Linked DNA regions of Alligator mississippiensis. The protein of the gene in region 3 interacts with the protein of the main gene of each other region in a pairwise test. Links are inferred from orthologs where the notes say so. Each region holds a gene or a part of one and is shown on either strand. Other genes may lie near its edges.

The links.
Region 1: the proteins of TRIM54 (region 3) and TBC1D22B interact in binary tests that used the Homo sapiens proteins (3 or more experiments, as listed by UniProt). The link is inferred for Alligator mississippiensis from reciprocal best matches to the Homo sapiens genes TRIM54 and TBC1D22B.
Region 2: the proteins of TRIM54 (region 3) and DTX2 interact in binary tests that used the Homo sapiens proteins (3 or more experiments, as listed by UniProt). The two-hybrid records come from large-scale screens. The link is inferred for Alligator mississippiensis from reciprocal best matches to the Homo sapiens genes TRIM54 and DTX2.

What each region holds. Positions count from the first base shown.
Region 1 is NC_081837.1:35,935,965-35,939,707, reverse strand, and holds the start of TBC1D22B (TBC1 domain family member 22B), read right to left. Parts: upstream 2,278-3,743; 5' UTR 2,181-2,277; coding exon 2,125-2,180; intron 1-2,124. UniProt on the Homo sapiens protein: May act as a GTPase-activating protein for Rab family protein(s).
Region 2 is NC_081837.1:16,777,723-16,781,465, forward strand, and holds the start of DTX2 (probable E3 ubiquitin-protein ligase DTX2), read right to left. Parts: upstream 2,628-3,743; 5' UTR 2,534-2,627; intron 1-2,533. UniProt on the Homo sapiens protein: Regulator of Notch signaling, a signaling pathway involved in cell-cell communications that regulates a broad spectrum of cell-fate determinations.
Region 3 is NC_081824.1:197,172-200,914, reverse strand, and holds the start of TRIM54 (tripartite motif-containing protein 54), read left to right. Parts: upstream 1-1,488; 5' UTR 1,489-3,619; coding exon 3,620-3,743. Other genes in the region: DNAJC5G (dnaJ homolog subfamily C member 5G), read left to right, coding at 484-572. UniProt on the Homo sapiens protein: May bind and stabilize microtubules during myotubes formation.

The DNA.
Region 1 (3,743 bases), on a different chromosome or scaffold from region 3:
GGCTGAAGGACAGAACAAAGCAAAAGAGAACCAGCAATGCTCACAGGGAGGAAACTACAGTGGGGCAACTTCTAAGGATACATTGGAGATCGCACAAGCTTCCACTTGCCAGCAAACGCTCCATTTCTTTGTGCTTCTCCTCTACCCAGGAAGTCATGAACATACTGATAAGCACAAGTTGATGTGGCTGAAAACTCTGCAGGCTTCTAACAACACAACCTGACTGCTTACAGCCCTACTGCAAACTTTTTTTTTTTTTTTTTGAAGGAAGTGTAGGTGACTGTTTCCTACTTGGTAGTGGTTAGAGCTACCAGGGGTGGATATGATTAGAAAAAACTGTAAAAAACAGCTTTATGAGTCATTTATGTGGCTGACTTAGCTCTTGCTGGCTGGCTTAGACATCAGAAACCATGAAGAGCAAAAGCTTGAACAAGACTGTGAAAGAGCTGAGCAGCTTACACAGGAGGGTCTGAGAGTAAAACTTCATCCCCACTGCCTGATCAGGCGAAGAAGCCTGATATTAAGTTTTTCAACAGAGGATCCGAAAGCAGCATGCAAACCTGGGCTAGCCCATCCTCACTACTGCAAGTGGGCAAACCAAGGCAGAAAGAGGACAAGTGGCTCTGGGGGTGACTATCATTAAAAATCCCCCACATTTATTATAGAATACACTAATCTTGATCTCTCAGCACCTCTGACACTATTGATTTCTTAAATGGAGCTCAGTTTGGCTAGTGAAACTAGTCTGCGCAAGTCCTCTTTCTGGATTGAGTCAGCTTCACCTGGTCGTTCTCCTCCACTGGCGGACGACACTGGATCAGTGAGGAGAGCACTGGACCAGAAGCAGACACCTAGGCTTTGCTCCAACTCCGGCAATGACCTATTGGGTGACCTTGGAGCAGTCACTGTCCATCTGTCTCTTCCCTCCTTCCACCTTCACCTACTGAAATTTAGATACAAAAACTCTTTGAGGCAGGGTCTCTTTCAATTCAACACAAAGCAGCTCTCTGCTGCGGTCCATCCGCTCTACTGCATATAAAGAGATGAATTGTTTAGTGTCAATGCAGCAGCAGAAAGTAAATCCTAGAAGCCTGCCAACGACATTTCAAAAAGCAAGCCGCTGCTACTCCCACAGAGCAGCATAACCCACTTTTATTATTAATAGTAAGGCCCTACGCATGGAGGGCAAGCAATGTGGTGTCCTGCTGAGCCTCTCTCCCTAGAGCAGGACTCGATAAACCACTGGGCAGGACACGAGGGAAACTAACCAGGTTCCTCCTATTCAGCAAGACATGGCCGGGCTCAGACTCCCCACAGCCCCAGCTGGAAGTGTTGTTAGTAACAGGAAAAAGCAATGAGTGGCTCGACTGCATCGGGCAGGTGACAGCGGGCAACTCGCTTCCCTTCCACACCTTTGTCCCCTCCCGCGCGTCTAAGACGGGAATAAGGATGCCTCTGAAAGGGTACGGTCCCGACGAACTACCCCGCCACGAGCACCCGGCGCCTACAGAAAGCTTCAAGGCTCGTCTCTTCCCTCTCAGGAAGATGGAGGCGGAGGTAGTGAACGCGCAAGGGAAGATCCCAAAAGCGAGCAGATTGTAAAAGAAACTTCCCTTTCTCTGCGCGAGCTCCTTTTTGGAGATCGTGCCCGGACCATGCTGCAGGGCCGGGAAAGGATCACTGCACAGAAGACGCGAGAGACAGAGCTACCCCTATCTTCTGCAACAGACATGACAGGCTGGCGGTGTGCCACCAGCAACTTCTCCCAAACCTCCACCCTCGGGAAGTTGCAGCGCGGGGCTCGGGCTCGCCTGGCCCCGGCCGGCGGATCTCTCGACACCAAGTCGGAAAGGGAGGAGAAGCGCTCGGCAGGGCAGCGTCGTGGGCGCACGGAGCGACGAGCGCGAGGCCGCTCTCTGTCACCCCCGTGGAAACCGCGGCCCGGGCCCGGTGCTGGAGCCAAGGGGCTGCGGGCCTGACTGGGAGCGCCCAGGCCTGCGGTGCTGGAGGCTGCGGGGGAGGCACACAGGGCCACACGAGGGCCCGGGAAGGCCGCGGGCGGGGAGGAGGGAGCGCCTCGGGGCCTCGAAGCCCGGCCCGGCCCGGGGGCAACTCAGGCCTCACCTGCCCGGCAGCTTGGCGCTCCGCTTCCAGAACTGCTTGCTGCTGTCGGCGGCCATGGCGCGGCCGGGCCCCGGGCGGGAGCGGCGCGGCGGCGGGTCCCGGAGCCGCGGGCCGAGGCCGCTTCACCGCCTCCCTCCGGGGCCCCCGCGACCCGACCCCGGCGCCGCCATCTTGGGTGCGGGAAGGCAGAGCGCGGCCATTGGCTGCGCGGCTCGGGCGCCTCCCGCCGAGCCAATGCGGAGCTGTGATGCTGCGGGGACGTGAAGCGAGGGCACGGGAGAAAGGGCGGAGCCTCTCGCTTCAGGCGGGAGAGACCATCTGCGGGAAGGGAAGGACGAAGCCATTCTCACAGAGGAGGACGGGGCGGGGTGCGTGTGGGGCGAACCATCCTTGAAGTGGTCTGGAAGGAACCAACTTGCTAGAGGAGGAGTTTAAACCAAGCTGGGAAAGGGGCAAACCATCTGTCCTGGGAAGAAGGGGCGGGCACAGTTTAAACCAAGTGCAGGGGGAAAGCGGATTAAACCACCTGCGCCGGAGAGGAATGAGCTGCGGTTAAATAACCTGCCGGGGGGGGGGGGGGGAGACAGGATGGGTCCAACCACTCGCCCCGAGGAAGAGGGGTGGAATGCTGTTTGAGATGGAGTGGGTTAAACCATTTCCCCTGAGGGGAAGGGGCTGTTATTTCTGGGTGGGTAAGAGGGGGCTCTCTGCAGTTAACCCCTTCAGCTCCAGCCTGGAGGGGCAGAGGCCCAGGCGGACGCAGTGGGGTGGGTCCGCGGGGCGCTCGGATCCCTGCACGTCCACTGCGCTGGCCCGTGAACTCGCCACGTGAGCCTCGCTGCACGTGGGGCCTTGTCCTAAGCTTTCTAACGGCCCCCCCAGAGCAGCCGGGCCCTGCGCAGCCCGCCGGGGAAGCTGCCGCAGGAGCCTGTGCGGGTGATCGGGAGCTGCGTGGCCCCCCTTTGATTTCTGCTCCACCCAAATGTTTAAAACCAAGCGCCCGGCAGGAGCCACCGCCGCGTTTCTGTTGAGAGGGGCTGAGAGAGCCCCTTGACTCTGTCCTCTCCCGGTTCCTGTTAATCTCTCCACTCCGCCGGGGTGAACAACCTCCGTCCCTTTCAATGGTCCTGACGTCCCACCAACACAGCTACCCGTTCCTCTGCGCTTTTGCTGTCTGTTATCCCGTCCGGGTAATGGGAGTGAAATAGAGACGTTGTAGCCCTGGTGGGCCCGAAACGACACGGGGGGCAAGGATTTCTTAGGGCCTTCTCTGTTACTGCACCAGCTACGTCGCTGGGAGAAAGCTGGACGAGCGTCCGAATGGCAGACGTGGTTCCTCAGCAAGCTGGGCAGCTGCGCCCCGCTTCCGGTCTTCACACCTGAGGAAGAACGTCTTCCCTTTGCGAGCTGCCTAACTTCCTGGCAATGTCCAGGGACCCTGGGCTTCTCTGAGTTAAAAAATCCCCAATTTTCGGTTAAAAAACAGTAACTCCCAAATCCACATTTTTCTATGATTAAAACAAAACACCATTACACACACACACATACATGCACACACATCTATATATATATACACACACATATATATACATATACACATATATATGTGCACACACCTC
Region 2 (3,743 bases), on a different chromosome or scaffold from region 3:
TTTCAGCCATGACCCTACGCAGAAATTCGGAGGCAAAACAAGTTGGGGGTGATGCTGTCATTTGTCCCAGGAAGTGTGCAAATGGAAGATGAATTTACCCACTTGTGCATGAACTTAATATTCCTGGCAAGATATACGAAAAGACTGGGCTAGAAGGAAATCAGCAACTTGCTAAGTCACAAAAATTAACAGAGCCAAAAGATAGAATAGCACCCACCCAGACCCAGGAGCAGCATTATGTCAGTGACTACAAGGTAACAAGTCCCAGCACCTAGTCCAACAGAGAAATCAGATTAATAGGTTTCCTTCTGGTTTTTGCAGTCAGATTTCAACATGCTTTAGGATGAGTCAGAAGTCCAACTCCCATAGGCAGCCTGAGCCTTTGTGTCATCCAACTCGCATCAAATCTTGTCACCTTCCATTACAACATACGCCAATTTGAAGCCCCGTAAGACACAGGGAGATATAAATGAGACATGGCATGCCACAAATGAGGACACATCACAAGAGAAGAACAATACACAGCACTGCTCACATCTGCCGGCATAAATACCATCAAGCAGTTACGATCATCCACAGATCTATCTACAAGGTTCTTTTACAGTGCCAGTCTCAGTCTGACAAGTCAAAAGGAGTTTAAGGAAGTCATGCTGATCTATGTGAATGCTAATGGAAGAATTAACAACTGCCAAGTAAAAGCAAGGGAAGGACTCACCCAGCCTGATATGAGAGATTAGAGAACCATAAATTCCATTTCGGGACCTTGCAATCACTGCACTTGCCTGCAGATTATGAAGTGAAGATTGCAAGCGGATTTGAGATCAGCAGAATGATTTTCCAGCATTAAAGACTTCCTACCATCAGCAATTTATAAACTGCAGGAGCTTTAATCAAGATAAGGGACCCCCTGGACAGAGCCCTTTAGGAAAGCAGCTGTCAGTTATGATTTAGAGAGATGACAGATAAAGAAAGAATGGTCTGTTTCTACAGATGGCGAAGCTGAAGCAGTAATGTGACCTGCTTATGATCTCAAAGAAGACCATAGCAGAGCCAAAAAGTGAACTCAGTAATTCAGTCTGAAGTTGGTACTTTAACAAACAGGCCTTTTCCCACCACTTCCCACTTTAACCCCAATGGAAGCAAGTGTGATGAATATTTTCTTAGGGTGTTGCTCAAATACAAAGTTAGGGAAGACTGCATTAAAAACTCCCAGCAGAAGGGACTGTTTGTTCAAAAGCAAACAGCAAGAGCCTAAGAGCAAACCAGAACATAAGCAAAACTGAAACTGATACTGCTCAGTCAAAGGTCACTGTAGTAAACTACTAAAAGTCAAAAATGGATTGTCAATTCAAGCAGTTTAGGAGACACAATAGCTCTTAGCCACAGCAGGAAGGAAATCCGATTTAAAAACTTCCAGTGCCCCGTTAAAGAATCCTAATCAAGAAACCATCGTAATTTGAAGGCAGGCACCACACCTAAGTGTCAAGGTGCACAATTACCTAGGGAGACTGGCCTAAAGTTCAAACACTAACCTGGGAACTTGGGTTCCAGTCCCTGCTTAGCGCTGGGTGACTCTAAATAAGTCACTGCATCTCTCTGCCTCAGCGTCCCACCAGTAGAAGGGGGGTAAGAGCACTGCTCTACCGCATGAGACTTCACCAGAGATTAGGATGCGATTGTATACTATGACAAGAATACACAAACTTACTGCCAGTTCCTAGAGCAGCAGCTCAGACTCCAGCCCCTGCAACCAGACCACGAACAGGCAGAGCCGTTCTGGGTCCAGATGCAGGTTCAGAGCCAGGGGTCGGATCCTGCTGAGCATACCAGACGCAGTGTTTATCGCCATAAACAGTCCCCTTGTGGCCTACAAGACAACTCTCAGAGCGTGACTGCACTGAACAGGTTCGCTGTTACGCTGGCTGGGGATGTGAAAACATTGCACCACTAACGAACAAGTTTCGCCGGCACTTCTCGCAATCCAGACCAGGGCCTTGGTAACCAGTGTTCGCAGGCTCTGATCCCAAAGACGCGAGAGTGAAATTCCTTAAAGCCGAGACAAAGGATACAATTTTCAGGAGCCGGGGAGCCAGAGTCTGGCTTTTCCAGGAGCGCGAGTCTCACTGCACCTCGGGGGATTTGGACAGCGAGAGGCCCGCGTCGCTCCCGGGAGCCACTGGCCCACACCCCCGCGGGCAGCTCCCACGGGCCCGGCTGCTCCGACCCGCCGACAGCACTGGAGCCGGTGGGGATGCAGTAAAACTCCCGCTCGTGTCGGGGCCTCAATCCCCATCCAGAGGGAGGCGGACAGGCCCGGTCGCGCTGACGGCCACGCGTGACACCGGCTCCGGGGCCTAGTGCGGCCGCCGCGGAGGGGCACGGGCACGGCTTGGGGGCGACCGCGGCCCCGGGCTCCCGCGGGTGGTGGGGGGGAGGGGCTCCCAGAGGGCGGCAGGGGCAATTGGCTGGAAGCTGCCGGGACCCCCGCGGCCCCACACCCGCCTGCTCCCCTCGGCCCGGGACCCAGGCTCACCGTGGCGGTGCGGCTCCTCAAACGACGGCGACCACGACTGGGCAACGACTTCCCGGCGCAGCCCGGCGAGCCCCAGCGCGCATGCGCCCGCGCGGGGCATGCTGGGGGATGTAGTCCCGGCGGGCGGGGCCGCGCGCTAGGGGGCGGGGCGAAGCGTGGGGAGGCTCGTCCTGCTTCTTCACGTGGCAGCGCGGCTCTCAGCTCCAGGGTCTCTCCCTCTTCCTCCGCTGGTAGCAAGTTCCCCTCACCTCCTAGCTCATGGGTTTACTCTCTGGTTTCAGAGTATTTATCATCATCTCTTCTTTGTCTGCCCCTTTTAATGGAGAGAGAGTTGCTGTCTGTGCTGCGTTTCGAGAGCCGGCTCAGATAAAAGCTGCTTTGCCCAGTGACGTTGTGGTGGATTAGATGGTGGGATCAAGACATAACGATGAGAACAACCTGTTACAGGGATAACTAGCAAGGCTGGGGAAGGTGATTGAAGAGGGGCATTTTAGGATCTGAGACTTCCAGCAGGGAAACACAGACATTCTTGTAAAGAAAACCGTGTTTATGCATCGGTTTTCCATCACTCTGTGCCTCAAAGAAGATTCATTGATGCAGGTTAATCCTGAACTCGCGTCCTGTTTTCTGCGTTGCTCTGGGTTCTTGAACCCTCCGACATCAAACGAGCCTAAGAAGTCTGAACAAGAATCAGATACGGCTTTGAAACCAGCGTCTGATGAACACTAATCATCCCCATTGTGGCTGTGAGTGATAAAGGCAGGATTGCAGAAGTGGCACAAAGGAAGAGAATTACCTGCAGGATTAAATAACCTTTCTGTTCTCAGCCTTAAGGATGAGCACTGAAGAAAGAGCTTCATTTCTCCAAAAAGATTTGAAAAGCCTTACAGGGAGGGGGCTCAGTTCTCTCCTCTGCCAAATTCAGGGTCAGGCTCGATCACACATTTTTCAAGAACAATTCTGCATTGGTGGAGACAGCTGGGTTAAAACAACCTCACTTCTTCCCACTTCTGAGACATTGGCAATTTTTATTCTGAGTCTTTTGTTGAAAGCTTTTTATTGTACAGAGCAGGAGGATTGATTTTTTTTTCTTTAGCTCTAATTCTCTTTGGTGCTTTAGAATTGCTTTGCATTCTCTGTTCTTCCCTTGGATGCAGTAAGGGTCAGGACTTGAGCTCAGAGATGGGCCAGCCATGAGGGGTGGAGATTG
Region 3 (3,743 bases):
GCTCACACTTGCTGCCCTCAGAGCCCAGCTGGCCAGCAGGAAGGAGCTGAGGGTGCTTGCGGGTGAGCAAGGCCCCACTGGAGCATGGGGGGGAAGACTGGTGGCCTGCGGCAGGCCCCAGTGCTGGCCTGCACCTCATGCAGGGCCCTGCTTGTGGCTGCCGCCATCCTCGGGCTATGCAGCGTGCCCCAGGCCTGGCTGCTCAGGTGGTGCCCCCAGATCTGGGCCAGCACCAGTGACTGTTTTTGACACCCGGGTCTGTCCTGGTGCTGGGCTGGTGCCTCTGGGCTTGTCCCAGGTTCTGGCAGCCGAGGACAGCTGCCCCTTTGGCTTCAGTGCCTCTAAGCATAGACTAGGCCTGGCTTGGTCTGGGGTTGGGAGTCCCATGGCAGAGGTAGAAATGTAGGATTGGCTTCTGTTGGCCTTGGGAGGGGTGAGGCCTGTGCCCCTCACAGTCTCTGACCCTCTGCTTTTGCCCCGCAGAGCCCCGCAGACCTATCGTGGCACAGCCCCCACCAGCAGCTACCAGAGCAGAGACCCCACCAAGCGCCAAAGCCCAAACAGAAAAATGAGGCTAGTCCATGTCCCGGCGCCTCCACCAGGACTCAGCGCGGGGCTCCCCCCCAGTTGTTGCTGCTTGGGCATCCCTGTCCCGCTGCGCTGGCAGCACTGGCCCGGCAGCCTTGCCTCAGCAAGAATCTCAGGTTAAAGGGGCCAGCGCCAGCCTGGCTCCCCAGGGCCCCCTGCTGCCTGGTCACACCTAGTGGTTGTGGGGGCTGCATAGTAGCCCGGAGCCCCCGGTACTGCGGCAGCTCCCCATGCTTCCTTCACCAGCAGTGACACTGAGCCCCACGGCAGGGGGTCGCCCTCAAGGCCCAACCAGAGACCCTGGCCGCAGCCCCACCCTGTGCCAGCCTGGCCCCCACTCACCAGCACCCCCCCCCACACCAACTCCCCTTATAGTCCCCCCTTTGGCCATGTCCCCAGGCCTGTGGGTGCCATGTTCTCCAGGGTGGGGCCTGGCTTACACAGCCTGCCTGAGAAGCACGTGTGTGGAGGCCGGCTGGGCCGTACTCCGCCTGGGCATGCGTGAGACCGGTAGCACTGTACCTGACCCCCCGGCCGGCAGCAGCAGGGCTCGGTGTCCCAGCAGGGCTCCTCCCTGCATGCTGGGTGCCAAAAGCTGCTCCCGGGGGCGGGAGCACAGCCCCTTCAATGTAGCACCCCCTTTCCTGCGCCCTGGTTTGGCCCTGCGGCTTGGCCAGCGCTGCCTGGCTCTAAGCCGCCACCCAGGCCCTTTGGTCTCACCTGGGCCCAATGCAGCAGGGTCGAGGAACCTTTTGTATGGATTTTATAGACACCATTAAAGGATGAGCGGAGGGCATCTGCCTCACTGTATCTGTTTGTCCTGGGGCTGGGTACCCCCTGCTTCTCCTGCCCGTGCTGCAGCCTCTGTGTCCTGGCCCCCCTGTCAGCAGGTCTCCAGTGCCCTCAGCCCAGGTCGTGTCCATTGCACCTGCTCTGGGGGCTGCTTGCACTTGGTGCTGGGTCCTGTTGTCTGCTTCAGCCCTGCTGCTCATGCTGCCACTCACCCAGCCTGTGCCCCACACCCTGTCTTAGTCATGGGCATCAGGCATCGCGGCCCATCACTGCAGCTATGGCTATCTCTTGGTGGGTCCCTGTGCTTCCCTAACTCAGTGGGGAGACAGAGGGTTCCCAGAGGATGTGGCCCTTGTCCTGTCAACTGTGGAGCTGCAGGCTGCCCTCTTCTTCCTTGGCTGCTCTTTCCCCTCACAGCATGGCAGGGGGTGGGGAACTTATCATGGCTAGGGTGGGCTCTGGCACCAGGCCCCAGCTCTGGCCTCCCCCAGTGGTGCTGCCAGTGCTGGGAGCAAGTGTCTGGGCCCATGGGCTGGGCTGTGTGCGAGGTGGCTGCGCCACACTAGGGTAGGGGGTGGGGGCTGCCCCTGCCAGCACTGGTGGGAAGCTTCCCACAGCAGAGACCTGTGCTGCAGCTTGGAGCTTGGACCTAAATTTGCCTGTGGGCTCGGTGCCTGGGCTGGGCCTGGTGCCACCTGCAATTGTTCAAGGCAGGTAGTGTCCTGCCACTCGGGCTTGCGCCCAGCACGGGCTGTACCCACCACTGGAGCCCAGGCCCTGCCTCACTACCTAAATATAGTGCTGGAGGCTCCCTGCCAGGATGGGGGCCGGGGGGGGGCACTAGGCTGGGCTGTGCCCCCAGCAGAAACAAGGGTCTAGCGAGCGGGTTCCAGCAAAGATGGGGGAGGTCCCTGGTGTCTGCTTCACAGGTTTACAGAAGCTTAGGGACTGCTGTTTGCTGGGTGGCTGCAGCGGCCAGGGGGCCTTACTCAGCCCCAGCTTCTCCCAGCTGCCATCCTCCTTGCACCCAGCTCCCTGGAGGGGCTCAGGTGTGCGGGGGCCAGGGCCTGGTGCTGGGGGAGGACCCTGTGCTAGATTTCAGACTGGCAGTGCTGGCTCTGACCAAGTTATGTACTGGCTCCCTGTCTCCCAAAGCCCAGGCCCAAACAGGGGGCACTTGCTGAGGCCCAGGGTGATTGCAGGACTGTGGCCTGGTGTCTGGGCATGTCCCCAGGTGTGGTGTCCCCAGGCATCGCATGCTAGCTCCTGGGATGTGCCTAGCACGGTGTGCTGGCTGGAGCTCCCTGTTTAGAGCAAGCCCAGGCCCCAGGGAGAGAGCAGTACCCCTTGCTCCCATGGCCATGCTATCCCTCACTGCCTGTGGACCTTGCTGGGCTGTGGGCTGGGGCCTGCATCCCTGGGCCACATCTGTGGCTGTCTGCTGGGGGCAAGAGCAGTGGTGTTCCATGGGCACATAGGGCTGGGGCCTTTGTCCCAGCTCTGTAGCTCTGTCCTGGTGGCAGAGGTTGCAGCGCGACCCAGGAGCATGGGGTTGGGGCCTGGGCTATCCCCTGATGGCCACGACACCCCCCCAGGCCTTCCCCACATTCCCCCTTGCCCCTGGCGGAGCCCTCAGCCTCTGCTAGTAAGGCCCTCAGCACCCTTCTTCCCTGGGCTGGGGGGCAAGTAGGGGGTCCCATGGGCTCTCCCAGCACAGGCGCCTGCCTGCCCCATGCCCCTCTCCCTCCGGGAGTGTGTGACTCAGTGTCACTCGACGCTACTGACAGCTGCAGCCGCAGCCAGGGATAAAAATGGAGCTGGAATTTCAGGGATGCTGCACAGCACAAAGCTCAGCTAAAATTAGCCCCTGCTCTCACCCTTGCGGGGATGGGCAGAGGCCAGGGACGGGCAGCGGAGCCCCAGACGCGCTGGGGGCAGCTCCGGGACGGACGGAGAGAGCAGGCAGGCCGAGCACGGGGCAAGCGAGCTGAGAGCAGGAACTGCCGGTGGAGCTAGTGGGGCAGACAGGACAGGGCAGACAGAGAGGTACTGGGGCAACCGGACGGCAGGACAGGCCGGCGGCAGTACCGGGGCAGACAGAAAGGGCAGGGCAGACATACTGAGGTACTGGGGCGGCAGGACAGGCCGACAGCAGTAGTGGGGCAGACAGCCGAGGCCAGGCAGCCCAGTGGTGGTAGTGGGGCCGAGGTGCAGTGGGGCAGGCAACGCAACCGTGGGGATGAACTTTGCGGTGGGCTTCAAGCCGATGCTGGGGGACGGGCAGAGCATGGACACGCTGGAGAAGCAGCTCATCTGTCCCATCTGCCTGGAGATGTTCACCAAGCCTGTGGTGATCCTGCCCT